4 linked regions of the Pelodiscus sinensis genome follow. The protein of the gene in region 1 purifies or fractionates together with the protein of each later gene. This does not show direct contact. Links are inferred from orthologs where the notes say so. Each region holds a gene or a part of one and is shown in the gene's direction. Other genes may lie near its edges.

The links.
Region 2: the proteins of CDH5 (region 1) and JUP purify together in Homo sapiens (affinity purification with western blotting; 3 studies listed by BioGRID and IntAct, with this or other methods). This does not show direct contact. The link is inferred for Pelodiscus sinensis from reciprocal best matches to the Homo sapiens genes CDH5 and JUP.
Region 3: the proteins of CDH5 (region 1) and CTNND1 purify together in Homo sapiens (affinity purification with western blotting; 3 studies listed by BioGRID and IntAct, counting the BioPlex papers as one, with this or other methods). This does not show direct contact. The link is inferred for Pelodiscus sinensis from reciprocal best matches to the Homo sapiens genes CDH5 and CTNND1.
Region 4: the proteins of CDH5 (region 1) and CTNNA1 purify together in Homo sapiens (affinity purification with western blotting; 4 studies listed by BioGRID and IntAct, counting the BioPlex papers as one, with this or other methods). This does not show direct contact. The link is inferred for Pelodiscus sinensis from reciprocal best matches to the Homo sapiens genes CDH5 and CTNNA1.

Annotation. Positions count from the first base shown.
Region 1 is NC_134722.1:19,395,620-19,402,788, forward strand, and holds the start of CDH5 (cadherin-5), read left to right. Parts: upstream 1-4,158; 5' UTR 4,159-4,337; intron 4,338-7,169. UniProt on the Homo sapiens protein: Cadherins are calcium-dependent cell adhesion proteins. They preferentially interact with themselves in a homophilic manner in connecting cells; cadherins may thus contribute to the sorting of heterogeneous cell types.
Region 2 is NC_134739.1:9,927,957-9,934,848, forward strand, and holds the start of JUP (junction plakoglobin), read left to right. Parts: upstream 1-3,887; 5' UTR 3,888-3,900; coding exon 3,901-4,043; intron 4,044-6,892. UniProt on the Homo sapiens protein: Common junctional plaque protein. The membrane-associated plaques are architectural elements in an important strategic position to influence the arrangement and function of both the cytoskeleton and the cells within the tissue.
Region 3 is NC_134714.1:128,674,627-128,681,829, forward strand, and holds the start of CTNND1 (catenin delta-1), read left to right. Parts: upstream 1-4,199; 5' UTR 4,200-4,345; intron 4,346-4,674; 5' UTR 4,675-4,733; intron 4,734-7,203. UniProt on the Homo sapiens protein: Key regulator of cell-cell adhesion that associates with and regulates the cell adhesion properties of both C-, E- and N-cadherins, being critical for their surface stability.
Region 4 is NC_134727.1:3,751,263-3,758,658, reverse strand, and holds the start of CTNNA1 (catenin alpha-1), read left to right. Parts: upstream 1-4,388; 5' UTR 4,389-4,547; intron 4,548-4,768; exon of another isoform or gene 4,769-4,790; intron 4,791-4,912; exon of another isoform or gene 4,913-5,182; intron 5,183-7,396. UniProt on the Homo sapiens protein: Associates with the cytoplasmic domain of a variety of cadherins. The association of catenins to cadherins produces a complex which is linked to the actin filament network, and which seems to be of primary importance for cadherins cell-adhesion properties.

The DNA of each region.
Region 1 (7,169 bases):
AAGAGATATGTCATCAGTGGAAAAGGCTGAATGCTCCTTCAGGTAGAAGAGATTTACAGTTGCAGACAACTGCCATGGGTCCTTAGTGACTAGTTCAGCATCTTTTATTGGCACAAAGTCTGAGTCCTCTGAGCCCTTCCATCTTCTAATTCTCCTCCACTCTGAATGGATCACATTACTCACTGAGGATTCCATGCACTGTCTACACATTCCCATCTACTTCTAGAAAGTTTTTCTGTTTAAACACAGAGGTCTACAGTTTTGAACTTGTCTGCTTAAAGTTTGGTACCTCAGTAAAAGCATACCAACCATATGCAATTTTGGATTGCATTAACAGAGGCAAATCATGCAAATCACAGAAGGTGATAGCATGGATGGTGGGTGAACAGCTGGCTTGGAGAGGCAAGCCCAGCCCCTTCCATGCCCGCTAGAGCCCACACAGCCCCCACTACAGCCACTGACCCTTGCCCCATGCTCCCCAAGTTCTCCATTGTGGCTGCTCGCTGGCTACCAAGGTGGGTGGCATGAAGTGCCAGGTTGCTGGGCATTGTAGCTGCTGGCCCTTTCTCTGTACTCCCAGCCTATCTGACCCCAAAGCTCCAGGTGTCCCAGTCTTCCCAACCCTGAGGCACCAGGCAGATGCACAGTGCCTACCTTCCAGGACCCAGAGCACTGGGTGGCCAGGTGGCCAGGCTGCCACACAGCCCCAGTCTTCCCAGCTCAGGGTAGCCATACACCCAGCCTTTCTGGCCCCAGAGCTATTAGCTGTGTAGCTGCCTGGCTGCATCAGCCTTCCCAGTGCCAGAGCACCAGGCAGACAGGAAGCATGGGCTACACTGTCAGACCCGACACCCAGGTGTCCCGCTTCCTTCTAGCCACCAGCCCCAGCACTGGGCAAAGAGCAGGTTGCAGCATTCAGGTAAGGAAGGGTCCTAACCTGGGGTGGAGCATGGGTGGAGTTACCTATGTCAGTTTGGGTAGGACATTCCTTCTCTTGCCTTCATTACCCACCTCTCATGGGTGATAGGATACATGAGATGCTAATGAGGCCTCAGCTGGAGTTTCCAGTGTTGGTCACAGCTGTCTGGAAAGGATGTAGAGAAACTGGAAAGTATCCAGAGGAGAGCAATAAAGCTGATCAAAGGGATGGAAGTGAGCAAAGACAGAAGGAGCTGGGTATGTTTAGTTTGGGAAAGAGGAGATTGGTGGGGACATGATAGCAGTGTTTCATATACTTGAAAGGCTGCCATAAAAAAAAAAAAAAAGATGAAGGAAAGTTGTTTGCTCTGGCCAAAGAGGGCAAGACAAGAGGCAATGGATTCAAACTTGAAGTAGGAATAAGAGCCTCCGGAAAAGGGCGCTTTTTCCGGAGGATCAGGGCCAGTGTAGACGCTCTTTTCCGGCTTTTAAAAAAGCCGGAAAAAAGCGGCGGACATTTTTATTTAAATGCCGCGGGGGATATTTAAATCCCCCGCGGATTTCCCTACGACGACTGGTGAAATTTACATGCCCCTTCCGGAAAAGGGGCCAGTGTAGACGTAGCCCAAGTGTTCAACACCCCTGAAAATCCACTTTAATTAGATGCCTCTGGAGTTTATTGCCCAGAAAGCACAACTGTGAGAAAGACTAAGTTCCTGAAAGTTTAGGAGATTGTCTGGTTTTGGTTAAGTATCCAAAGATAGTTTATCCTAAAATATCCAAGCTCAAATTACCTCATAATAATGTTTTAAATCCTATAGGGTTCCATAGAGATAAAATCTATAGAGTGAGAAAAGGGTCAGTGGAAATTTAATAAGGTTTTTAGACTCTAAATGCTAATAGAAAAATAGTGTTACTTGGTTTTGATTTTTCCCACTATCCTTCAGAATGCTGAGGCAGACAATTCTCCATTAATTTCTATAGGATCCGAAGGAAAATATTGGTTTGTAGTCCCTGCATACATATGGGAAGAAAGGGCAGCTAAAATAGCTTCTCTGAGATGTGGCCAAATTGTCACTATTGGACTCCTCCAATGCCCACTATAGGCAAAGGAAATATTCCCATTGACTTCTGTAGACTCTGAATAAAGGCTTTAAGTGAGACAGAAGTTGATTATGACTATATGGATTTGGCAAAACTTGGACTAGAAATTACCTGTAAAGACGACATTATTATGTTTTAAGCAACCATCCTTTGTTAAACAAAGATCATTCTGTCAATCCAAAAAATAGAGTTATTTGCAAATATAAACACTAGCTACAACTGTCATCTGCTCTGGGTACCAGAGTCTATTGCCTAAGCTGCATCATCTGCAGATGACTGTTTTCCAGTGAACTGCAGTTAACATCCTCCCCATCTCTCCTTCTCCTCTTCACTCAGCAGTGAAATAGAAACTGCTTATTTTCTTATGAGGAAACCTAATTATAATCAGTCTCCTTAAAGAAGACTTTGAAAAATATCCGCTCATTAGGTGCTTAACCTTCCTGAATAATTAATGTATCAAAATTTTAAAAGAGCTATTCATCTTTGCCACTGCATGTCATAAAAATGTGAAATAATGTAACCAAAGACCAGTCTTCTAGAAAACTGGAAAAATCAATCCCATTACCTTTGCTAAATTGTGATGAAGCATAGGGGCAAGCGAGTATTTCACTGCAGGATGTTATTATTTAAAGTCTTCTATAAAATATGTTGCACATTTGGCTACATTTATTATAACATACCTGTAAGACCTCAGACATTGGTCTCTTTTTAATCTCATGCTTCTCAGAGTTGCTCCTGAATTATTTAATAAAGTAATTCCTCTCTGGCTTGCAGGGTAAAAGAAATAGCGGGTCTACATTTTCTTCTTTGCATTTAGGGTAGGAGGAGAAATTAAAGTATATGTTGCTGTCCCAGAACAGAGCACAAATATTCTATGGACTTGTATCCACTACGCTGGGCATCGACACTACAGCAATTGATTTACTGGCTGTTAATTTATTGTGTCTGGTTAAATAAATTGATCTCCGAGTGCTCCCCAGTCGATGCCAATACTCCACCAGGATGAGAAGAGTAGTTGGTGTCAATGGCAGAGTAGCCCCTGCTGACCTTACTGCACACAAGACACTGTGGTAAGTATGTTGACTTTAGCTATGCTATTTGCATAGCTGAATTCACGTAGATTAGATCGACAGTGGGGGTTAGTGTAGACGAGGCCTATGTGAGCTCTATGAAGACCCATCTGCTTCTCACACTGAACTACCTTAACTTTCATGGGTGCAATGCCCATTAAACTCACTGTGGTCTAAACCTGGGAAACTCCCATTGGACTGCAACAGAAGAATAAATCAGGTCCACAAGCATAATTGCAACCACTCAACTTGGAATGTTTAACTTTCCCCCTTCCCTCTCCCTAAATATTCATCAGCTTTAAAAATTGCAATGCAACAATTTAATTCAAAAGTTTTCCCATTAGAGTTTTTTTCTTAAATTTTGAGGTCTCTTTAGTGCTTTGCAACTAAATCCGAACAGCAGCATTTCTGTGTCCTTCCTGTACAGGTGGAAATGAATATACAAAGTGCAAGGCAGAGGAGAATCATGCCCTAAATTGAAGACATGCAACCAAATTGTGCTCTCAAACATACCGGTGTGAACCACAGTTGCTTCAAATCTATACTGCTGTTGTCAAGAGCAGAATTTGACTCATGTTTATTTTCCAAAATTTCAGTATACACCAATCTACTAAATATTTTTTCATGCCACTAGCAAACTCATCAATTCTGCACCAAGGGAAGTAGTGGAAGTTTATGGGAACTCCCAACTGACTGATGAGCACTTCATTCATCATTGTTTCTGGTGTACAAATCCTGATGGCTTTGACTTACTAAAATATTGAAGAATCTTGTTCCATTTGAACACAAAACATTTGAAAATAAACCATACTAAGTATTCATTCTGGGATTGTTTTAAACTGTTTAGTACTAAACATATTAAGCACCAGCACTGGTTTGTATTTCTGGTAGAGTCCATTTCCCTTTATTCAGATACTTATTTGTTGTCCCTCTGAAAAGGTAAGCATAGTAATAATAAGCCTAAGTTTATCTGGTTTCCTCCACTCTTTTCTGTCATTGGCATTACTAAGGTTTGGAACAATAACAGGATGCTGGCATGCAGGATGGGAAAAGGCTGACTCCCAGCTGGGGAACCTTGGAGATTGGAAAGCTGAACACTCCCAGAATTGCTTAATGACAATGAAAACTGATTTTTTTGTTACTTGTTCTTCACTCTGAGTAGTGCTGTGTAGATTTCTGGATACTTTTGATTTAGTTTGTCTAACTTTGGATAAAAGTAAAGCTTCACCGCCTCTTGTGTAACAGGTAAGGGACAGTGGAGTACTCTTTCTCTTTTCAAGTAAATTTTAAGGGCTTTTATTGCTTTGATTTCTGTTTAAAGTTCTGAGATGGACTATTTACTTAATATTCTGTCATTAGATATCTTTGCAGCATCCTCTAAGGTGATCCTGCTGTAACTTGGGCATAATTCTATTGGCATCAGTGGAGATACTATTAGTTTACACTGGCATGAAATTAAAATCAGGTTCTCTGAGGCTACAGAAAAATACTCTCACACTGTAAGGAGTATTTAGACTTGAAGAAATATATCTTTTTTATACCTGTGGTTCATGATGCAAGCTGAGATACCAGGATATGCTGTCACTGGGCTTTTACAAGGAGACATAATAACAGAATCAATACTACAAAATGTATCTGGGGACCTTTCAGCTGCAGTGCAGACAGTAATAGGCTTACTAGTTTGTCATTGGAAAAAATGTATGCTATGTTATATCTGGCTTCCTTCAGACATAAATACATTGGCTCAAGGTTGCAGAGTTCCTTGGGTATTCTTACCTACTTAAAATTGTGAAAGGAATATTACTGCTATTGGAGCTAAGAACCAAAAAGTTAGAGCTCTCATGTTCAAAAGGCAACTCTATGCAGATTTCACATAGCTGGAACTACATATGTGTAAAGACAAGGCACTTTAAATCACTTATAAGTGATTTAAAGCTTCAAAAGGGACTCAGGCAAATAGGAATATAAGTCCCCATTGACTTTCAATGAGATTTTGGGGCCTAAGTTCCTGGGCAACTTTTAAAAATGGGACTCAGGTGCTTCTGAAAATGTTACCCTTGATGTTCTAAGTTCCATTTAATTATACCTAATCCCTACAATCATCTGTTGGTCTGGAAGTAGAAGCTTCTGGCTCTCAGCTCTCCAAACTTACTAGTTTTTTGGTAAGTTACTTTATGGAGAGGGCCTTGAAACAGGAAAACCGCTGACAGAGCTTTTATGTTGTTATAACTATAATGTTTATAGTTATAGTAGCAGGTCCCTCAGTTGTATTTTTCCATGCAACTTGCAAAGACACAAATGTTTATGAATAAGAGTGGAATCAATGCATCTTTGTGTCTGTTGGAATTATAGTCAGGGAGGACTATACCTCACCGTGCTGCATGCCATGCTACAGGAAAGAATGTGAAATTCAAGAAAAAAAAATGTGGAATAGGCTGCTTTTGTGAATAGTTCTCCGATCTTAAATATTAAATATTAAAATTGTGATTTTTCTATAGGGCTAGATGCAGGGCTCAGTACTGAACATGCTTAAGCAGAAGGTGTTTCACAAACAGTTAACGGTTATGAAGGTATTTGTCAAAATAATATGTTTGCCTCATATCCTGCTTTTGTTGAAGTAGAATAGAGTAATTAAAAACAGGATATATGTGAAGGGACTTGTATAATTTCTGCCTTGGAAGCTCATATGATTGTAGCTTTTGCTGAGCTTGGCTATATAAACATAAAATAATATTTAAAAGAAAACAAATCTTCCTTTTCCAGTGAAAAATAGAAAAAATAAACTATTTCTTGTCTGCAAGATGGGGTTTAAAATCAAGCAAATAGTGGTGGTTGGGTTTTCAAAAAGGATTAGTCTAAAGTTTTACCATTTATACATCATTTTTGTTTCTAATGTAAGTGTATCCACATTCCAGATCACTTTGGAGCTTAATTTAGATAGATTCAAACTCTAATGACAAGTGGGGAAAAATGTCTTTCATGAGATGTGTGAACTGGAAATATTTTGTGTTGGAGGAAAGCATTTTAAAAAGGTGCACAAAGTACTTTTCACTCTTCATTCCAGTATGTTTAAAATGAGAGGAGCCCCAATTGCTGAGCACATATGTTGGTAGAATTAATTTCCTTTTTGCACTGTTATGTGTCAGTCATTATTTGTGCAAACTAGAGATGTGCCCAAGAAATAGGGGGAGGAGGGAGATTTGCAAGGCACAAAAAGCGGACGGGCACCCAAGACACACTGACTTTCATTGGAAGCTGGATGCTTACCTCCTATTTACGCCTTTGAAAATCCTTCCAAGAATTTGGATTTAGATCTGGATTCCAAACAGACCTTGACTTCACTCAGATGCAGGGATACAAGTGTGGCCTACTACAAAGATAGCAGCTGTTTGCTTACCTCAATTCTGGATTTAGATTTGAAATGACGACAACGTTTTGGAGCGATCAAGTCTGGGAGAACTGGTTTAGTGTCATATTTACTACCAACATCAAAACACAAGGACCCACCATAATGACGGTCACAAGTCATGGTGATCTGAAGCCACCATTTCACCTTATGTGAGCAGTTTTATAGTTCTGAGATCCATTCTCAAAAATACTACTGGGAAACGTACTTCCAGAATTCTTGGTATTGTAGTGGAAACACGGAAAGGAACAATGCCATGGTTAAGGCTGCATACAACTAAAATATTTCAGTTATCAGGGGGTTTCCATTAACATTTTCTTTTGTTTCTGAATTTCACAACCCACTCATATCCCAATTTCTGCTTTGAGTTTGGGGTTTGTTCAAATCCCCAAACTCAAATCCCATAAAAAACTGCTAAGTTTTCCATTAAAGGCTACAGCTTCAAGGCAAAAACATAAATTGGCCCATTCACTGACCTTATGTTTACTCAACCAGATTGTGAGCTTTAAATATACCTTATAGCAAGCTTGTTCAAATTTGTAACAAAGCATGAAACCAGGCAAATTGAGGGATGTATGGGTTTTTTTAACACATTTTTCAGAGCCCTGTGACATACTTTCAAGAATATGTTACTATCTTCTGGAGCTTATTTTATTGCATGAAATATCAAT
Region 2 (6,892 bases), on another chromosome or scaffold:
TCTTCAGAGTGGCATGCCGGTCCCATTAGCCAAATCTCTAACTAGTTATATATAATGTGTGTATATTCATTTCCAGGACTGGCAAGCAATGAGTAACTCTGTAATCGCGTTTTCTCTATTCTGGCATCTTTCACCTGAAGCTCTCAAAAGATGGATTAATTGGGACATTGGCCTAAGTGCCAATAATAATCAAGACATGACAAAAATACTTTGTGTTTCTAACAATGCTGAGGCTCTCCAAGCACATTCCGGCCGTAAATGAACAAATCCTGCCCTTTCCCCTGGGAGGGGTGTGTCAGGTGGGCACTCTCGCCTGAAGAAGAAGCTGTCCTGGTGAGCAGGTCCAAAGTGACTAGTGATCTCGGGTGTCCAGTTAGTGACAACTGCGCCTGCTTTTCCAAGGTGCCAAGCGATCGTGACTCTAGTGAAGTTCATTGGAGCTGTGCTCTTCCGAAAATCAGAGCACCTGAGAACTGAAGACTCCAAAATCAGAGGCTAAAGAGACTCCTGAACCAGTCAAAGGCATAGTAAGGAGTAAAACTAGACTTAGAACATAAGAATGGTCAGACTGGGCCAGACCAAAGGTACATCCATCCCAGTGTCCGGTCTGCCAACAGTGGCCAATGCCAGGTGCCCCAGAGGGAGTGAACTGAACAGGTACTGATCAAGCCATCTCTCTCCTGCCATCCATCTTCACCCTGTGACAAACAGCAGCTAGGGACACCATTCCTTACCCATACTGGCTAATAGCCATTAATGGACTTAACCTCCATGAATTTATCTAGTTCTCTTTTAAACCCTGTTAGAGTCCTAGCCTTCACAGCCTCCTCAGGCAAGGAGTTCCACAGATGGACTATGCACTGTGTGAAGAAGAACTTCCTTTTATTTGTTTTAAACCTGCTGCCTATTAGTTTCATTTGGTGGACCCTAGTTCTTGTATTACGAGAACAAGTAAATAACTTTTCCTTATTCACTTTCTCCACACCACTCATGATTTTATAGACCTCGATCATATCCCCCTTAGTCTCCTCTTTTCCAAGCTGAAAAGTCCTAATCTCTTTAATCTCTTCTCATATGGGACCCATTCCAAACCCCTACTCATTTTAGTTGCCCTTCTCTGAACCTTTTCTAATGCCAGTATATCTTTTTTGAGATGAGGAGACCACATATGTATGCAGTATTCAAGATGTGGGCATACCATGGATGTATATAAGGGCAATAAGATATTATCCGTCTTATTCTCTATCCCTTTTTTAATGATTCCTAACATCCTGTTTGCTTTTTTGACTGCCACTGCACGCTGCATGGACATCTTCAGAGACCTATGCACGATGACGCCAAGATCTCTTTCCTGATTAGTTGTAGCTAAATTAGCTCCCATCGTATTATATGTATAGTTGGGGTTATTTTTTCCAAAGTGCATTACTTTACATTTAGCCACATTAAATTTAATTTGCCATTTTGTTGCCCAATCACTTAGTTTGGTGAGATCTTTTTGAAGCTCTTCACAGTCTGCTTTGGTCTTAATTACCTTGAGCAGTTTAGTATCGTCTGCAAACTTTGCCACCTCACTGTTTACCCCTTTCTCCAGATCATTTATGAATAAGTTGGATAGGATTGGTCCTAGGACTGACCCTTGGGGAACACCACTAGTTACCCCTTTCCATTCTGAAAATGTACCATTTATTCCTACCCTTTGTTTCCTGTCTTTTAACCAGTTCTCAGTCCTTGAAAGGATCTTCCCTGTTATTCCAATGACAACATAATTTACGTAAGAGCCTTTGGTGAGGGACCTTGTCAAAGGCTTTCTGGAAATCTAAGCACACTATATCTACTGGAACCCCCTTTTCCACATTTGTTGACCCCTTCAAAGAACTCTACCTTCTATTCTTAACCCCCAGCCAGAGATATCTGATTAATGTGCTGCTATTTTGTTGTAATAATAAAAAAATGTGTCATTATGCCACCTTCTTCCCTCTCGGCAGTGCTTAATATGACACCTGTCACCACTATTTTGGCTACAGAGGCTTTCAAGACACACTGTATCTCTGCAAACCTTTCCGAGAGACAAAGAACCCAAGTCCCAAAATATTTCAAATTCAAGATTCTTTATGAATGTTTCAAGCCAGACGCAGGGTTATCGGAGAGCAATTGAGGCAGATGCCTCAGGTACAAGTCCTTGGCAGCTGTAGCAAGCATCTGTTCGTAGTAAAGGCGTATGAGGCTGCTGGGGTTTATTTTTCTGGCCATTTGTCAGCGTCACCTGTGAGCTGGTGGCAGGGTGTTAAACTGTGAGATACTCTTCCTACCAGCTCGCTCCTTTCCCTGTAGGCCAGGCACATGCTCTCCTCATTGCTTTTTAATGGGAAGTCTTTTATCATTTCTGATCAGCGTTTTTGCCGTCCCTGGGACTCTGGAGTAGAAAAGTGACTGTTTCAATTTCGCCTCCTCCGGACTGGTTGCACAGTTGTTCCTGTCTGGGTTTGTGCTGCGCTACAGGGAACACAAGGGAGAAACAAATATTTTTGCAGGAAGTTAGGCGAGAAATGGAATGACACCAGGAGCGTGCGGCTGACAGCGAGAGAGGCAAAGGAGAAGGCTCTTGCATACCATTGGGGAATTGTGTTGGTCCAGAAGGGAAGCCAGTGCTAGATGAAGAGAAGAGAACCCAGAAAACTGTGCAGCGTGGCTGGAGCTAGCGCACCAAGTTGTTGCTGAATAAAGAAGGCTGCACTGAACTGGCTCCAAAGGAGGGGTTTGAGCATGAGGTTGCTGAACATGGTATGGCCCCCTGCGCTCAAACAGTTTAACCATGCACAGCCACCCCAGAGGTAGCCATTGCTGCTGTCCACGGCAAGCGCCTTCTCCAGGTCCGAACTTAGGCACAGCCTGTGTCTCTCCATCACCATCCCGCAGTGCTCAGAGGCACGTGACCAACATGGCTCCTAAGAACAGGGCCTCACTGGAGAGTGGGGTGCTATGGGAGGGGCCCTTTGCTGAGAGTGGCACTGCTGTTAGGTGAAGGTAAATGGGGCTGTTGGATGTGTCGGGGGAGTATCTTTGGGGGAGGAGGGACAGGAACAGGGGTAATGGGGGACAAGGTGGTAGCTCAGTGGTTTGAGCATTGCCCTGCTAAATCCAGGATTGTGAGTTCAATCCTCAAAAAGCCCATTTAGGACTTTGGGGTAAAAATTGTCATAGATGGTCTTTGGTCCTGCTGTGAAGGCAGGGGACTGGACTTGATGGCCTTTCAAGGTCCCTTCCAGTTCTAAGAGATAGGCAATCTCCATTAAATTTATTTAGTGGGGAATAGGACTGCTTTGGGGGGGGGGGGGGAGCTGCATGAAGGTGCACAGGAATGTGCGGCAAAGAGCTCTTAGAGGGCTGATCAGCTTCCAGCCCTGATTTTCCCCTGCCAGGCTCCCTCACCCCCACCCCCATCTGTCCCCAATTCTCCCTCTGCCCCCCTATTCCCCCAGACTTTCCCCTGCCCCAAACTCACCCCCCAGGTTTGCCCCTACCCCCCAGACTCCCCTTGCCCCGCAGCTCTCGCCCAGGCTCGCCCTTTCCCCTCCCCCAGCTCCCTGTCCTTTCGCAGGCTCCTCCCTCCTAGCCCGAAGCCCCGCCCCCACCTGCATGACCTCATCCAGGTGAGCGTCTCCCGTCCCACCTGGCCTAGGGACACGCCCTCCCCCGCCCACTGGCCCTTCCCCGCCGTGACCGCCACCCCCGTCGTCCAATCGCGTCCCAGCTCCCCGACCAAGCGCCAATCCGCTTCCGGCCCGCGGGCCCGTCCGCCCTGCGCTTTGTGGGCGGCCAATCGGGAGGCGCTCCATCGCGCCAGGTGGCGGCGCAGCCCCCGCCCGCGACGGCGTGACTGAAGGGCGAGCGGGCCAATGAATGGGCGGCCACGAGCGGGCGGGGCCTGTGTCCTTGGGGACCGCGGGGGCGGGGCTGGGTTGCGGGCTGCGCTCGCCTTTTGTTTGGTGGGTGCGAGCCGGGCAGCCGCCAGTGTCGGGGCAGAGCGGTGCGGCGCAGCGCAGGTGAGGGTCGGCCCGCGGGCTCCCCCGAGAGTGCGTGCGCGCGCAAAGGGGGAGAGCTGAGTGTGCGTGCGTGTGCAAAGGGGGGGCCTGAGTGTGCAATCGGGGCGGCTGAGTCTGCTCGCGTGTGCAAGGGGGAGAGCTGAGTGTGCGCGTGTGCAAGGGGGAGAGCTGAGTGTGCGCGTGTGCGTGTGCAAAGGGGGAGAGCTGTGTGCGCGTGTGCGTGTGCAATGGGGGCGGCTGAGTCTGCTCGCGTGTGCAAAGGGGGAGAGCTGAGTGTGCGCGTGTGCAAAGGGGAGAGCTGAGTGTGCGCGTGTGCGTGTGCAAAGGGGGAGAGCTGAGTGCTCTCGTGTGCAAAGGGGGAGAGCTGAGTGCTCTCGTGTGCAAAGGGGGAGAGCTGTGCTCTCGTGTGCAAAGGGGGTGGGTGAGTGTGCAAAGCGGGGCGGCTGAGTGTGCGCGCGTGTGCAAAGGGAGGGCTGAACGTGTGCGTGTGTTAAGGGGGGGCACTGAGGCGGCGCTTCACCCGGGCTCGCGTCTGCCCGGCTAGGAGCTGGTGCGTGTCCGCTCCGCGGGCCGCCGGCTGCTCCGAGCCAACGCCCTGGCCCTGGGAACCGAGCTGTCCGGGCCGGGTGGGGCCTTCTCTGGCTCCTCGGGAGCTCCGGGCTGGGGCGGGGCTCAGCGGGGTGTTGGCGAGCTTGAGGGGCTCCGGGCTGGGGCGCAGCGGGGTTCTGGCGAGCTTGGGGGCAGGCGGCGTCCCGGCGAACTTCGGGGAGGGGGGGGTCCGGGCGAACTTGGGGAGGGGGCGGTCTCGGCGAGCTTGGAAAGCCCGGCCGCTTGCGGTGGGATTAGCGAAGTGCTGCTGGGGGGCTGTGCTGGTTTGGGGGAATCTGGCGCAAGCGAAGCCAGGACGCGTCCAGGCGCCCGGTAAAGTTCGTGCCGGTGGGAAATTGGGGGCGGTTCAGACTCGCACATGTTTGTGTCCCGCGTTGTCCGCGCCAGCCAGGTGCTGTGTCGTGTCCCTCCCCCCCCCCCTCCGTGTGGCCCTTCTAGGGAACCCTGCCTTGCCAAAACAGGAGTGTCACCAGTAACCTCATCACCCTGCACTGAACACACGCTGAGGTCGCTATTAATCAAAGCAGTTAATGGCTGACGGCAAACCACTTGTAGGCAGCCTGTTACATAGTTCCAGAGATCGGTATTAAATTAGCCGTCTAATTTGCAAGTGCCTGGAGTCTCTGTTGGAGCAGAAGGCTTGCGGGGTGGCTGCTGAACCTCTCTCGTGAGACGCTGTTTCGCGCAAGAGAAATTGGATCCTGCTGGAATCTGGAGAATGAGACAGGAGCCTGTTGTTTGCATCCTGCAACTGCTCCAGAAAGCTGGACTGTGCATTAAAACCGAAAGGGAAGTGGTGTAAACTGGAGGCGTCTTGCGTTTTCAAACCTAATTAGCTGTCTTTTCATTCAGGCAGTGCAACTTGATGGACTCCTGGATGACAAATTACAAAAACTGCTGAGGGGTGCGTGCTGCAAATCTATTTCAGCTGGTCCTTGAAATGGTTCCTTTTTTAAAGCTCACAATGGGCGTTTCCTGTTCTCTTGCTGGATTCCTGGGGAGCAAGTTTGCAAATTGTCTCCTTGACTGGGTTTTCCAGGAGAGTGCCATTGCTGTTTCTGTAACTGTTGTGATAGGAAGGGTGTCATTCTGGCTCGGCTCTCGCCATGCGAGCTTAAGATGGCAATCTCTTACTGAGGCATGAGCCACAGGCATTTAAGAAATCCTTCCTCTGTGTAATTGATTGTGCAGTGAATCAACATACAATCAGCTTTCAGGGTGTATTTGCGCGTTTGACATATTAGTTTTCTGAGGTCTCCTGTCCATGTATTATAAAATGCTCCCGACCTGCTTTCTTAGCTTGCATGCGGTGACTGACTGAAGTGTATGTTCTTGCAAAGCACGATCACACATCGGGCTCCCAGCACTTTGCAATGGTTGGAAGCAGGGCTGGATTACCCAGTAGGCAGACTAAGCCCGTGCTTAGGGGCACCAAAAAAAAGAGATTTTTACGGTATAGTATTGTTTTTATTTTGAAAAAGTGGCGAGGAGTCCTGTGGCCGCTTTTGCAGATTCAGACTAACACAGCTCCCCCTCTGATACTTTTTATTTTGAATTACATATGGGGAGGGCATCATAATCTTTTCAGTGTTTAGGGCCTCTAAGGGTCTTAATCTGGCCCTGGTTGGAAGGAAGATGCTGTTACAAGCTAAGTGTAGACTCTTTGTAGGGAAATTGCCTGATAGGAGTCCCCAGCAGTAGCCCTAGAGACTTGCCTTGTATCTAGATTGCCAATTGCCTGACAAACAGTTGTGATTTGCAATGTAAGCTTGGCCTCTACTTGAAAACTATATTGGCATATGGATGTGGGATGGGACTTGGAAAAAACCACGCCCCAGCAGAGATGTAGCCATGTTGATGAAATAGTTCTGGGAGGTGGTGTTTCTTCACTGGAAGAAAAAAATACAGCAAGCAGGTGATGTCTCCTACCAAATTCACTGTCCATTTTGAAAACAAGTAGTCCTGTAGCACCTTAGACTAACAAAATAAAAAGCATGAGCTTGCTTTCGTGGGCAAAACCCGCTTCCTCAGATGAACAGAGACTGTCTATTTTGGTCAGTTTCGCAGTCATAGCATTTGTGAAATCCACAGCATCAGATACTTAAATTTTTAGATTTCATCGGGTTGTCACAAAGCATAAACATGTAAAGCCCTTCAGACAGCATTTCTCAAACGGGGGGGTCCCAATCCAAAAGGAGGTCACAAAGCTATGATGGGAGAGGATTGCATATTGTCACCCT
Region 3 (7,203 bases), on another chromosome or scaffold:
GAGGTCGGAAGAAAATGAAGGCACATCTATCTCCATCTTCTAGAGACATGGGAGGGGAGTGGTGGCGGCGGCTAGGAACACTTACTCTCACCCCCCTCATCAAGGGATTTAGAGTAAATTGGAGGTGCAAGGTCTCTCTGCCCTTGAGTAGGACCCATAATTCAGGTTGGAGGGGGAGAATAATTTATTATCTCTTTCTCCCCGCATAAGAAATTGGAAGTGAAGTGAAGGAGCCTCCTGCCAAGGAAGATGGACAGGGTGGATAGCACTGCATAGGAGAGCTGAACTAGAGCAGTCCCTGAAGTGCTGTTTCCTGCATGCTCCTGCTGCAGTCCCTCTTGTTGGCCCTTTGATTCAGTGCTGGAAGAAAAGGAGGAGGACAAGGATGTTCTTAACTCTCCTCTTTAGTGGGATGGGGAGGAATTCACAGGCTTGAAGGCACAGATCCTCATGAAAGTTAGGTGCCTAAATACCTTTGGGTATGTCTACACTGCACTTGTGCTCATAATAAGCTATGCAATTTGAGTTCCACAAATTGCGTAGCTTTTTTCGAGTGTATTTTGAAATAGCTTATTTTGTAATTTGACACTGTCTTCACGTCAAATTTAGAAATAAACCGCTATTCCAAAATGTCTCTTAATCCTCATGGAACGAGGTTTACAGGGATGTCAGAATAGTGAGCTATTTGAAAATATTATTTCAAAAGCAATTTTGAAATAATGGGCGTGCTGTCAAGACGCAAAATAGCTATTTCAGGATACTGGAAGTATCCTGAAATAGTGCCACAGTGTAGACGTGCCCATTGTGAATCTGCAGCAGATCAAACCTCACAGTAGGGAGGTTTTTCCAGATAATTGTCCTAACTGCTTCCTTTTTAAAATATCATCCCATTCCTCTTTGCTGTCTCCCTTGTGTACCAGCCTCTTTCTCTCCCTCACTGGGGATTACTCTCTTCAAATATTTGCAGGCTGTTATTGTTATCATGTACTCCTTGCTTGACCAAGCTATACACATATTTACCTCTTTTAATCTTTCCCCATAAATCAATCTGCTGTTCATTCCTCATCTCCCTCTGTCTTGTCAATAACTTTCTGGTGACATGGTACTCAGAACTGAACACGTTCACCTGAGTAGGGGCGGGGGGCAGCAAAGAGGGTTTATGTCATCTTTATGGTTTCTAGATTCTGAGGCCAGCTGGGAGTAGGGGTAGGGTGTGAATTGAGCCATGTAGACTCTACATCACTTGGGTTTCCCCCTGGACTTGGGAAATTCCTAGGCAGCTATTTAATCCAGCATTACAGCCCCTTTGTGCTGTGGATCCAAGAATTAGTTCCAATATTCCAGATGTGGTTCCACTCAGACCCACAGTTAAAGCTGTCACCTTCCCGTTTTGTGTGGTGAAGTGCTCAGCCTCCAATCACTCCAGTTTCTTTTGCTTCCAGCTCCTGTCTACTTTAAGCAGTAGCTGCCAGTCCTAAGTCTCTGAAAGCAGTAATGCTTCCTTGGTTTCTCCCCCACACAAAGTGTTAGACTTTGGAAACAGGTGTCTTCAGCTGGACTAGCTGTAGTTTTCAAAGCTAACGTGTTGTTATTTCCTACCCCATCTCTTGACTCTCTAGATCCCTTTGAATTATTTCTCTACACTCAATGCTGTGTACTTAAAAAACAACGAAATATCCTGCAGTAACCCTTAGGATGCATCTAGATTGGCATGATTTTGCGCAAAAGCAAATGCTTTTGCACAAAATCTTGCCACCTGTCTACATTGGCCACGAGTATTTGCGCAAGAACACTGACTTTGTAATGTACAAAATCAACAGTTCTTGCGCAAATACTCCGACACTCCTGCTCAGAGATAAGCCCTCTTGCGCAAGTATTCTTGCGCAAGAGGGCCAGTGTAGACAGCCACGTTAATTTCTTGTGCAAGAAAGCCCGATTGCTGAAATGGCCATTGGAGCTTTCTTGCGCAAGAGAGCATCTACACTGGCACGAATGCTTTTGCACAAAAGCAAATCTTTTGCGCAAAGGCACATGCCAGTATAGACGCTCTCTTGCACAAATACTTTTAACGGAAAATTTTTTCCGTTAAAAGTATTTGCGCAAAATCATGCCAGTCTAGACGCAGCCTTAGAGACTAACAAAAAATGTAGATAGTCTCTAAAGCGCTGCAGGACCATTCGTTGTTTTTAAAGTTTTTTCAGTTAGGGTGCACCTACACAGCACTGTAACTCGAAATAAGATACGCAATTTCGGCTATGCAAATTGCGTATCTCATTTTGATGCTATTTCAAAATAGCTTATTTCGTCATTTGGTGCCAAATTTCAAATTAAAGTGCTATTCCGAAATGTCCTTTATGCCTCATAGAATGAGGTTTACAGTAACGTCGAAATAGCGAGCCCGCATAGGCTTGCTGAGAAGACGCGAGATAGCTATTTCAGGATACTTCAGTATCCCGAAATAGCATTGCAGTGTAGACGTAGCCTTACAGACTAACATGGCTACCCCTCTGAGATTTTTAAAAGCTGTGTACAACACTCTCCCTTAAGTGCCTAGTCCTACTCCGCTTGAAGTCAATGGAAATAATACCAGACCCCTTTGCATCATCTGTTGATTTAAGTGGCATATTGTCTACTTCGCTATTGTGCTTGGTACTGGCAACCTCTCTTGGTCCTGTTGGATTCTGGGAGGAAGGATCTGCTGAGCTCTCAGTACAAGGCAGGGCGAATGTTCTAATGTAGGCCAAGTTCATCACTGATTTCACCACTGTGTCTTTTAGACCCGCTCTAAGCACAGAACAGGGGAGAAAAAGTAGCAGATGGCCAGTCTACACTGATGTGCCTATGTTTCATAAGCGATATATGATGCAGCAGGCTGACAGAGCTGTAGTGAAGAGATCTTTGTTGAACATAGACAGAGGCCAACAACGAGTGTTAAAGGGCTTGTGTTTGGTAGCAGCTCGGTCTAGTATTGCACCTGCTGTCACACCAAACTAATAGTTACTCCTGAAACCTGACCCTCTTTCTCCCCTTCCATTCCTTGTACTGCACCCTGAAGCTGTGTCTAGATTACATCCCTTTTCTCGAAAAAGGGATGTAAGTTAGACACTTCGAAATTGCAAATGAAGCCAGGATTTAAATTTCCCACGCTTCATTTGCATAATGGCGGCCACATTTTTTTTTTTAAATGGGCTTTTTGAAAGAAAAACAAGTGTTTAAACAGGGATCTTTTGAAAATAAAACCCTTTTTCAAAAGATCCTGTACTCTTCAAAAAACTTTATAGAAATATCTAGGTAATGCCCCCCTGCCAGCAAATCCCCCGCTTAATCTGGTGCACCACATTGCACTATGTACCTTCCAGTTTGACACTTATTTGCAAATATAATCAGAATAAACAACTTTTAGGGCTATGATGAAAGAAAACTTGTTAGAACTTTTGTCTCTGTCTCTCTCTTAATTGATGGTCTGGAATCTATAAACTGTGAATTGGATTAAATTAGTAATGCAAAGTAAAATAGCTATTTTCTTCACTGATATGAAAGGAAAAGGAGTGAAGTAAATTCCTTATCCACTCTAGATTTTTAAATTCAGTTTCTTAATTGCCACCAGCAAAAGCCAAACAAGAGCTGATCACACAATCTAGGCTCACACAATCTAGGCTCACATAATTAAAACAAAAACAATAGACTCAAGGTTGAATTTTAAATCCTCAGTTCTCCCCAGATCCAAACACCTTCCCACCCATCTTTTTGTACCATTGTTTTCCCTCCTTTTCAGGTGATACTTACAAAGATGAAAATATATTTACACATAAATAGCACAGGCGATATATAAAAATGAAGTTATTTATTCTCATTTGCAAACAGGCAGAGGAGATGAGTGGGAGAAAGAAACACAAACGATAAAAAGAGACTGGACTGTGTATTGCAGATCATATCAACACATTTATCATCATGCCAAGCCTGTTTTAACCTCCTTCCTTGCAACTGATTTTTGTAATATATTTTTATTTTCTTTCCTCCCCCACCCCCAAAAGTTATTTTCTGCCCTCCTCCTTTTGTTGGTTTTGCTCCCTTTTTCTTTTCTTTTTTCTATTCCCTACAATAAAGTTTCCTATTGGATAATGCCGGGTCCCTTATTGATGCCTGCTTCCCATTGGAGCTTCGTAGACGCTGACATCACTTAGGGAAAGAGGGGTTGGGCGTTGGGCTTGGAAAGCTCAGTTTGTTACCATCACCCCCGTCAGCTTGTCTTTGGCTGGGTCGGGTGCAACTTCCATTTTAGGTGTTGGATCTGAAAGAGGAGGCGAGGGGGGAAAAGCCAGGAAGGATCCCAGAAGAGAAAGAGGTGGAGAAAAAATCACTACATTTATTGGTTTTCTTTTTTTAAAACACATTTTGGCCGGGTTTTGCTTCTTGCGTTTCCTTTAGAGATTTGTTGGAGAAGTCCACCATAGAGTTTTGTGTGTTTGCAAAGCGACCCCCCCTCCCCAAAAAAAAGCTCTCGCCCAAGGGGAATTTTTGTTGGAGACTGGCATATTGTCACCCTGAGAGATTAGAAGGGAAGTTATAAGGCAGAGGAACAGCCGCACTGACAACTTTTAAAATTTATTTTGCTTTTATTTCTTCCCCCCCTGGTACTCAAAAAAAAAAAAAAAAAAAAAAAAACCTCACAAGGTGGAGAAACAAACTCCTGGATTTCGCCAGCGCAGCCCCTGAGAAGGGAGAAAGCCAGGGTAAGAATCATGTTGGTTTTTTTTGTTGCTTTAAAAAAAAAATCTCATCTCTTGTTTTAACGCCTGTTGTTCACTTTGGATTTTTGCTCCTTTTGTACTGCAAGCTAACAACTCTGCCTGGGTTGAATTGCTGGGGAGCTGTTGTTTTTTGTGGTGTCTTCTGAGCAGGCTGGGGGAGGAATGTGATCCAGTTTGCGAAGTGGGCTCTTGGTTTTATTTGCACCCTTTAATATGTTTTCTTTAAAACTTTGGGAAAACTGAGCTGCAGTAGGAAGGTTGTGGAGTTGATCAAGTGTTTTTTATTAAGTGGTGTTCTTGTTGGGAGTGTTGCGGTCCATTCTTTCCATGTCTAAAATCCACACTTTCTGCTTGGGTGGATCCCATTTTTTCCCCCAGGTGCAGTTGGGTGCGGGCCTTTCTCCTCTTAGCCTTCTAAAGAGAATCCATGTTGAGTTATAACCTCTTAATCTTTAGGTGGAGTTAAAAAAGGCTTGAGCGGGGGGAGAGGGGGAAAGGATATTTTTCACGGGTTCTAAATTATAATCAACAACTTGAAATGGGTGTGGAATGACTGCCACACTTAGCAGAGGCTAAGACTTGCAATCAAAACCTGGTCAGCACTCTCCACCTAAGCCGTGGCTTATTTTAACACGTAATGGGGAAGAAGGCAAACTTTAAGAGAGGCTTTAAGCAAACTTATTTTGAAGCAGTTACTTTAGGAACTCAGTCTAACAGATTGTATTTTTTTTTAAATAATTGTTTCTCTGTAACTTTCCTTGAGCTCTTGCGTTCAGTCTCTTGGAAGTGTGTGGAGGTTTGAGGCTTTTAGATACTGCTAAAAATGTACTTCTGTAGCCAGCTCATTGGGAACTAGGACATGCAGCTAGTTTCTAGTCCTGAGTTGTCATCTGTAGAATTAATGCCTCCATTCAAATACAAAAAGCCTGGAATTAGTGTAGTATTTAATTGCAACAAACTGGGGCAGAGAAACAGTCTGTGCTGCTGTTTACAATTATTATAGGAAGTCTGCACTGTCTACTAAATATGTTAAAAACATACTTTCTCTTCTCTTTCTCTCACTTTGCTGTGAAGACCTTCTGATGTCTTATGTTAGACTTAAGATTATTGTGGCCAGAGATCTGGGGAAACTTTTGTGGTGAGAGAAACAGTAAGCAGTCTAGTTTCTGGAAATGTACAGATCCATATTCTATATCTAAGTACCTGTATGGTGTTCCCTCCCCCCCCAGCCTCCACCTGAGGTTTGGTCTTGGATGCAGTAGAGAAAGAAAAGAGGGTGTTCTATTTTGAATGGTTAGAGGATGGTTTGGAAAGGGTCTGTGGGTTTCAGTGATGGCTGGTGTTCTATTTAGTACCCCACATATTATTCTTCCCCCCACTCCTTCCATATCTGGATATAAAGGGTTTGTGAAAGAGGGTAGCTGGTTTGAACCATTTGTATGATTGGCTTTAGTAGCCTTTCACAGCCAGGGAGCCCAGAGGAAGTGCTCTGACAGCTGGGGAAAGAACACAAAAACACTTCTACAAGTAGATTAGGAATGACTTGTCTCTGGGTGGCCTTGAGTGGTGCTATTACTGTGAAAGAAGTACTTCCCACACCCAAAGCTAATTGCAAAACCCTTTTCCTATGATCAGTCTTGTGCTGCTGATACACGTACTGAGGTCTAAGTCCTGAAGTCTAAGTCCTGAAGTATACCTTTGAAGTATCTGGGCTTTGAGTGAACCGTGTAACCTTGACCCCTCAGCCTCTTTCCACACCCCAACAAAACAAGTGACCTTTCTGTGCCAATCTTCTAGTTGGCACATGGAGCAGGATAGAGAATGTCTCTCTCTTTAGACAGGTATTTAATATTGGAGTAAGGGGTGGCCGGTGTTGCAACTAGTATCCTGCTCTCTTTTCCTGCATCATAATTTCATTTGTGTTTAGAGTAAGGGAAGTTGCTTATATATGTTTTGGAAGCAGAGAGTATTTTGGGCGTGCAGGCCTTTCCTTGGGAGGAGGGATAATTCTGGCCCCAGGGTTATGTGCTGTAAATCTTTTCAGTGATGCTTTTCTAAGATTTTCTCCTGTGGAGTGTGCGTGTGCGCGCGCACAGACTAGATCTACCTTGGGCAGATGAAATCTTAAAACTGTTATCTAATTTTCCTCCTCCTTTGTTCTTGCAGGGAAGGAACTGTGACTCTAGGGAGGGTCAAAACTGCTGGGTGGAGTCCATCAATACCCCTGCCCCCAGCCCAGGCCCCCCTCTCCCTCCCCCAAAGAGTCCTGGTAATGTAGCAGCCTTTTCTTTAAGAAACGAATCCCCTTTTCTCTCTGGCTCAGTAAGTGACATTGAAATGTCTCCAGTTAAGGAAAATCCCCCAGCAGTCTGCTCTCAGGGGTGCTGGGTGCAGCAGGATATTTTTTTTCCTGTGTTCATTGGCAGCACTCTTTGTCAGTTAGCAATGCATC
Region 4 (7,396 bases), on another chromosome or scaffold:
GCACATCTACTATAATGTAAGTTAAAAATCCATTTTGGTCTAGAAAAGTTTTACTTATTGCTATCGCACCTACAATGTCTGCACCTGAAAGAGGCTGGAGAATGAAAGGCTTTTTTTGTTTTTGACTTCATTTTGTATTGCCCATTTTACTTCTATTATGTAATAGTGTCTTTCATATAGCAAAGAGAAGAGAAAAGAAAAAAAAATGTGATTACAAAACCACAAGTCTTAGCATTGAGAACTCTGCAGCAAATGTACCATTTAAGACAACTTTTAGCTAGTTTTTTTTTTTTTTAACTTGACTAGTTTCAAGCATTGCTTCACTCTTAATGATGACTTCTCTTTTAGGAGTTCTTGCTGTTGATATGGGCATTTTGTTTGATCAACACCTTCTGTTTTATTCAGAGTGATAGAGATCCCTGTTGTTATAATCTAGGGAGAACTGTTAATCAGGACAGAAACTCCAGTCTCCTCCCCGAGGTGACTTCATTTTTATATCTTTAGCTTTGACAGCTGTATATTTAAACTTGTGATACGTACACGAACCAACAGAATTGCCACTTAATCTTCTATCCTTAGTTGTCTAAAAGGGATTATTGCCTGCAATGTTGTGCTGATTTCTAGCCACCATTTTGTCCCCAAAGCATGTGGGAAGTGCTGAATGCAGAAGCCACCGCAGGAAGCCAAGACATAATATTAAAAGAATTAATGAAAGAGAGCAAGCCATTGAAGTATAGACTGAATTTTATTGAGAATATGCTACAGATCAAAAATAATTGATTGGATTCCCTGCTGCCAATGACACTGAAAATATTAATGGTTTAGTGCAAGCTGAATACCCCAAGCCCTTAAAAATCTGTTGTTAAAGAGCCTATTTATTTAAAGGACTGTCAATGAACAGTTCGTGCTATCTTAATAAATCGTCTCTCAGCCAAGGTTACAGTCCTGAACTCAGGACCTGCAGTGGAAAAACTCAAATTGACAGGATGGTTTCCTTGCTGCATGCAGTCTATTTTCATTAAGGACTTTGGGATGATGGGTACGATTCTCCTTTCTCTGTCCTGGGGCTAACTGCTCCCTGCTCTTGGTTAAACCTATGGGAAGGGATTAAATATGAAATCTCTGCCTGGTGCATTATCTCTTCCACGGACTTGTTAATATCAGGGGGGCCATGATCTAAGGGGATTTCAACCTTCATCCTTGCAAAGCATGGATAGGTGCCTGCTCTGAAATCCTTCCTGTTCCCACAGCATGGCTCCTGCGGACATCAGGATGAGAAATGCTGTGTGTCCCCCTGCAAAAATCACACAGGGCACAGCTATATTCTCCTTGACAAGACTCGCTGTGGTTTTTGATTGACATCGGCCAGAAAACAGAAATAGCGCGTGGATTCAGATGACTCAGTAACTGACATGTTTGAGATATGAAACATTACTTTAATTCAGTCACTATTGCAATGCAATCATTTTCTATAGAAACATTCATATAAAAAGCCATCTCAAAATGTGTTATGAAAAGCAATAAAAACCCAACTGAATATGACACAGAAAGGGTCAATTTCTCACACTGCTGCTTTGTGAGAGACTTTGAAAAAAACCTCCTCATACACAAACTTGCCAACCCTACCTCAGTTAGTTTAAACTTTGTCAGTTCTTAAAAGTCTGTTCTCTTCTGATGAAGGTTCTTGCTCTGATTCAACGAAACATTTAAAATAATATGCATCATTTCCTCAAATCTTCCTTGTTTGCTTTATCACAGCTTTGACAGCCCTTTTATGACACAGCTTTAAAGTATTTGCCTTATTTAAGATATTTGCATGAAAACAGCAACTTTAAAAAAAAGCAACACCATCTAAAATATTAATATATAACATTTAGATTTTATAAAGGAAAAAAAATGAAACCTGTGTGGAATAGAAGAGTTTGCAACATTTGTTTTTTAATTTTAGAGAGTGAGTGTGTGTGTGTACATACACCCACCACCTGCTACCCTCCACTTTTGTTCTAGAGACTATAAAAAGTAAAGACACATCAAACTTTTATTATGAAACTTGAAACACACAAATCATGTCTGCTGTCAAGCTTTGACAACTTCAGAACTCTGCCCATGTTTATCAAACAATGTTAAGGTTCAAAAAACATGGAACTGGAGAATTGCCCAGATCCAAAAGTTCCAATGTGGATTTTGAATACCAATGTGATCTTAGAACATCAATGTGACCCCAGGTTGGTCTGAACCATTCTAAAGCCATTATATGTATGTAAAGTTCACCTAAACCTCTCCTGGTTTTGGTTCCTGTGGTTTTACATTCTCTCCCCCTTGGGTTTTAAAAGAACTAGCCTTACTGCACCTGCTTTGGTCTCAGCACTGAGCAAAAGGGTACATTTTCCAAGCATTAGATGTGAAATTGGCAGGGTCAACAGCCTCGCCAGGACCTGGGCAAGGCAGGTGTGGAGCCTCAAGTAGAAGGGAGCCCTCAGTACTGCCCAGAAAGCACTGTGCCTCCCTCCCAGCCATAGTGCCGGACAGAGCGCACTGCGTCTCATTCTGGCAGCGATTTAAAGGACTTGGGGCTCTCACTGCCTCCGCTGCTGCAGTACCCGCAGCAAGATCTTTGGGCCTTTTTGCATCACTAGGTCCTGCCCAGGGCATTTCCCTCTTTGCCCCTGTGAAATCTTAAAGCAACCCAAGTTTTCTGGAAACTTCACTCAGAAGTAGCGTTGGGCCTGAACCCAAAACCGCATGAACTGAGATCACAGGTGAGTGTTGCACCCTTTTGCCTAATGCTCTTATGAAAGCAAGTACAGTAAGACAGATTTTGACTGAGGCTAGCTTTATTTATATGTGAAACTCTAGGAAGTGTGGTGTGAAACCACAGCACCCAAAACAGGAACAGCGGTTTAGGTGAAACAGATGATACTATCACACACGCCTTTGATAGGAAAGTGAAATGGAGCCCTAAGTTTTCTTCACCCACTGAAGTTAAAGAGTGAAAGAGAGTATGACCTGTTTGTTCAATAGTCCAATGTAGTTAGGTTTGAGTAATCTCCAGTGATTCTGGTTCAGAGGAGATATGGAGTGCAAGTGTTATGGATAGGTTTATCTATCTAAGCACTGCTCATCATTATAGTAGTGGGGTGGTAGATTTTGGACCCCCCCCTTACGGAATTAGGTCCAGATTTGAATTTCTCCTCTGGTGCCTGACATTGGACTAGGTCAAATGCCAGATCTAAACCCCTTCACCAGACGAGAGGCTGAAATCTGAACCCAGATTTGATCCAAACTTCATAACTGGGCATCAGTCTGTGAAATGCTGACCCAAATCCCAGAGCCAATGCCTAGCCCAGTGGTTCTCAGACTGTGGGTTGGGACCCCAAAATGGGCTGCAACTCCATTTTAATGGGGTCACCAAGATTGATGTTAGATTTGCTGTGGCCCAGGGATAAAGGAGAAGACTGAAGGCTTTAGCCCTGGATGGCAAGGCTCAGGTTACAGCCCCCCTGCGAGCGGCTGAAGCTCTTGGGCTTCACCTCTCCCCACCCCGCACTGGAGCAGCAGGACTTTGGCTTTGGTTTCTCCTTTCCCCGCCCCGTTCAGGAAAGCTCAGGCTTTGGTTCACCATCGTGGGAACATGTCATCATTTTTGTTGTCAGAAAGAGTTTACTGTGTAATGCACAATGAGAGCCCCTGGCCTAACCTCACTGCCTTGGGACTTGAAATCTAGACCTGAACATTGACTCTTGGAGCTGTCCTGTCTCATTCTGCCTCCTCTAGCCACACCCTCTGCAGCCACCAGGATGCACCTTATTCCCATAGGGAAGACCCTATTAATAGCTTGAACTTCCTGTGCCATGGAGCCAGGTCCACTGCCCCCCATCTCACCCCACTCACTGCCCCCCCAGCCATCTGCCCCCATCTCACCCCACTCCCTGCCCCCCCAGTTCTCTGCCCCATCATCCCTGTCTGCCCCCAGCCATCTGCCCCCCCATCTCACCCCACTCACTGCCCCCCAGCCATCTGCCCCCATCATCCCTCTCTGCCCCCCAGCCCTCTGCCCCATCTCACTCCACTCCCTGCCCCCCAGCCATCTGCCCCATCTCACTCCACTCCCTGCCCCCCAGCCCTCTGCCCCATCATCCCTCTCTGCCCCCATCTCACCCCACTCCCTGCCCCCTCGCCCTCTGCCCCCTTATTTCCATCCCTACCACTCCACGCCCCTGCCCCCCAGGCCGCCCCAGCGCCAGCCGCGCAGGCACCTTCCTCTCACCTGAAACTCTGACTCACCCCCTGCGCGCTGTTCCCACCCCGGCCGCTCCGCCCGCCGCGCGTGGGACGAGCTCCCAGCCTCTCACCTGCGCGGGGCGGGCGGTCCCGGGAAGAGCCGGGCGAGCTGCCGGGGGAGGTGCCCGGAAGAGCCGGCCGGGCCGTAAGGGGAGGTGCCCGGAAGGGCCCATTTCCTCCTCTCCGGCCGGGACGGGCGCGGCGCAGAGACAAAGCGGCTGAGGCGGCTCCGACCCCGGCTCCAGCGGCGCCTCCGGGACCCGCAGGTAACTTCCCGGCCGAGTGGGGAACTCCCCCCCCGCCCCCCGCCAGCGGGGCCCCTGGAGCCGCCCGGGTCTGGCGCGAAGCGGCCCGCTCCTCACAGCGGGGGGGGGAGCCGCCGCCTCAGCCCCCGCCCCGGCTTTGTTCGGCCTGGGGGGAGGGGCCCCGCAGTGAGCCCCCCCCCGCGGGAGGGCCCCAAGGGCGTTTCCCGCCCGGCCCCTCAGCGATTGTTGCTCGAGCCGCTGCAGGTAACAGGAGCCGCGGAAAAGTTTCCAGACGCGGGCGGGCGCCGTGTCCCCCTCGCGGGCCCCGCCTCATGGGGGGGGCTCCGCATCCGTGCACAGCGCGGCTGAATGTGGGACCTGCGGCCCGCCCGTAGCCCCCCGCTCCGAGGGGCACGCGGTGGCGTCCTCCCCGCCGTCTGCGGGGGGGCTCTGCCCAGCGGCGTCGGTGGGGCGCGGAAGGTGCGTGGCTGGACTGGGCAACGGGAGGCCTGTAGCCGGCCAGACCAGCACAGCGCTTCCCTTAGCGCAGTCGCTTAATTGTCACGTAGGCCTCATGCCAAAACCGACACATTGCTCTTGTCTTGTGACACTGAAGTGGCTTTTCTGGACTCTGCAGTGAAGAACGAGAGCAAGTGGTACGTACCCAGGGCCTGAAAACTCACTCTGCTTTGCAAAGGAGTGTTGCTGTGTCGCTGGATGGGTTTTCACTTTAAGTATGTCTAGCTTGTGTAGTCTACCTTTGCCTTGCAAAAGCAGAAAAATACACGAGAACCCCAGTAATATACATATTATAGTAAAGTTTCAGAACCAGTTCTGGGTGGAGGTAGAGTGTTACACGAGAACCCCAGTAATATACATATTATAGTAGAGTTTCAGAACCAGTTCTGGGTGGAGGTAGAGTGTTACACGAGAACCCCAGTAATATACATACTATAGTAAAGTTTCAGAACCAGTTCTGGGTGGAGGTAGAGTGTAAGGAACCTACAACAAAATGTATTTCTCTTCCTAAGTGACTTATGCAATATCTGTACAGTTGCTTGGTGATTCCCTCTGGACACTTCTGTTTCAGGTCAGTAGTGCTGGTCATTTACTTCTATGAACTACTGGTCACATGCTGTCAGGATCCTCCTATATCACTTGACTACTGCACTAATCTTGTCTGGCCTTGATGCTTGCAAACTGTCTGCATTTAATGCAGGAGCAAAGATAAGGAGCTAGGCTTGATTGTCATTTCTTCCCCACCCCATTCCATTCTTAAGTCCCTTCATTGGCTTCTCCTTCTCCAAACTCATCATAGACAAACGTACATTGACAATCCTTCTAATTTGTTCCCTATCTTTACTTAACTAATGCTAGGCTTAATTGAATTCTTGTGGTACTATCTCCTCCTTGTGCATGAGGAGTAGCAAACCTTCCTGTCCAAACTTGTAAAGTCACTATATTTTCCTCTGTCATTCCTCAAAACATACCTGTGCAGATACTGAAAACCACAGCCTGAAAATTTCTAGGTGGGCAGTGATATGTAATTACAAACCTTGCCTTGCCTAAGAACTGTGCATTTATTGTCTATTTCCCAAGACTCTTCCTCTCCGCCTGTCCTCTACCACTGTGCTTGAACATTTCTCTTACCTGTTTTATTTTGCCTCTTGGATTGTAAGCTTTTGGGGTCAGAGACTGTTTCCTCTGTCTGTACAATGACTAGTACAATAGGCCTGCAATTTGATTGATCTCTAAGTATTAGTATATTGTAAATACATAATGAGCTAGCTACCTCTTTGAACAAAGCCTGATGTTTAAAAAAAAGCCTATTTTGAAAATGCTTTATATATGTGGCTTAAGAATGACTGTGCCCATTTTGCTTTAAAATATAAACAAACCCCCCAAGTTTCCAAAACAGAGTTTTTCTGCACCCCCCCCAAAAGTTTGTAGTTAAAAAGGTCAGTTTTGAACATCTCAGCTTTTCCATGAAAATGGCTTTATTTTTCTACCAATTCTAATAGGAATCTGAAGCAGAGTAAATGTTTATCTAAGGTGGACAGAGTTAGAATTAGAACTCTTATCTTCACACTAACTAAAATAGTCAACAAAATATTTTTATGTTTAATATAAAACTTTTAAGCTTCTTGAGGTCTTAAAAAGTAAACCAATTAATTAGTAGCTTCACATTTGGTTTCTTCCTGTGAAGTTTGAGATGTTGTTTGCCATGCAGTTTCTTCATGCAGAGGAGTTCCATGGTAATTGCTCTGAATGAAGTAATAACAAGTAATTGGAGGATAAGAGATTTAAACAAATCTTCTGCATAGATCAACTACTTGAGTGCCTCCTTGCAACTAATTGAGAAATAGCTTTTACAAGAGAATCAACAATGGCAGTATTTAAACTGGAAATATATTTAAGTGGAATTTTAACATGAATTGAAATTAGATCCTGTTGTCAGACAGTGGAGGTGGGTGGCTTCATAAATTCCTTTCTCCTGCAAAGAATTAATTGGAAATGTTACTTGTCATCTGTAATGAAACTGAGCAATCCATAGATATTAAGATAAGCCTCGGGTGAGGACAGAGCATTTTATGGTCCCCTGTGCAAATGCTTGTTAAATCATCAATAGAGTAGTGTTGGATACTCAATTGAGATTCCTACATCTTCTGAATTAACTAGACATCAAATAGAATATGGCAGGCTGACTTTTACTGTGTTGCTAACGTGAAACTGGAATGTTTGTGTCCTTTTCTCTTGTAATACAATGCCTTTCTTGGAAATCCCCAAATGCTTATTCCACTGAACTTGAAAAGTTATTTGCTTAAGGCAGGGGTGCCCAAACTTTTTTTCAAAGAGGGCCAGATTTGATG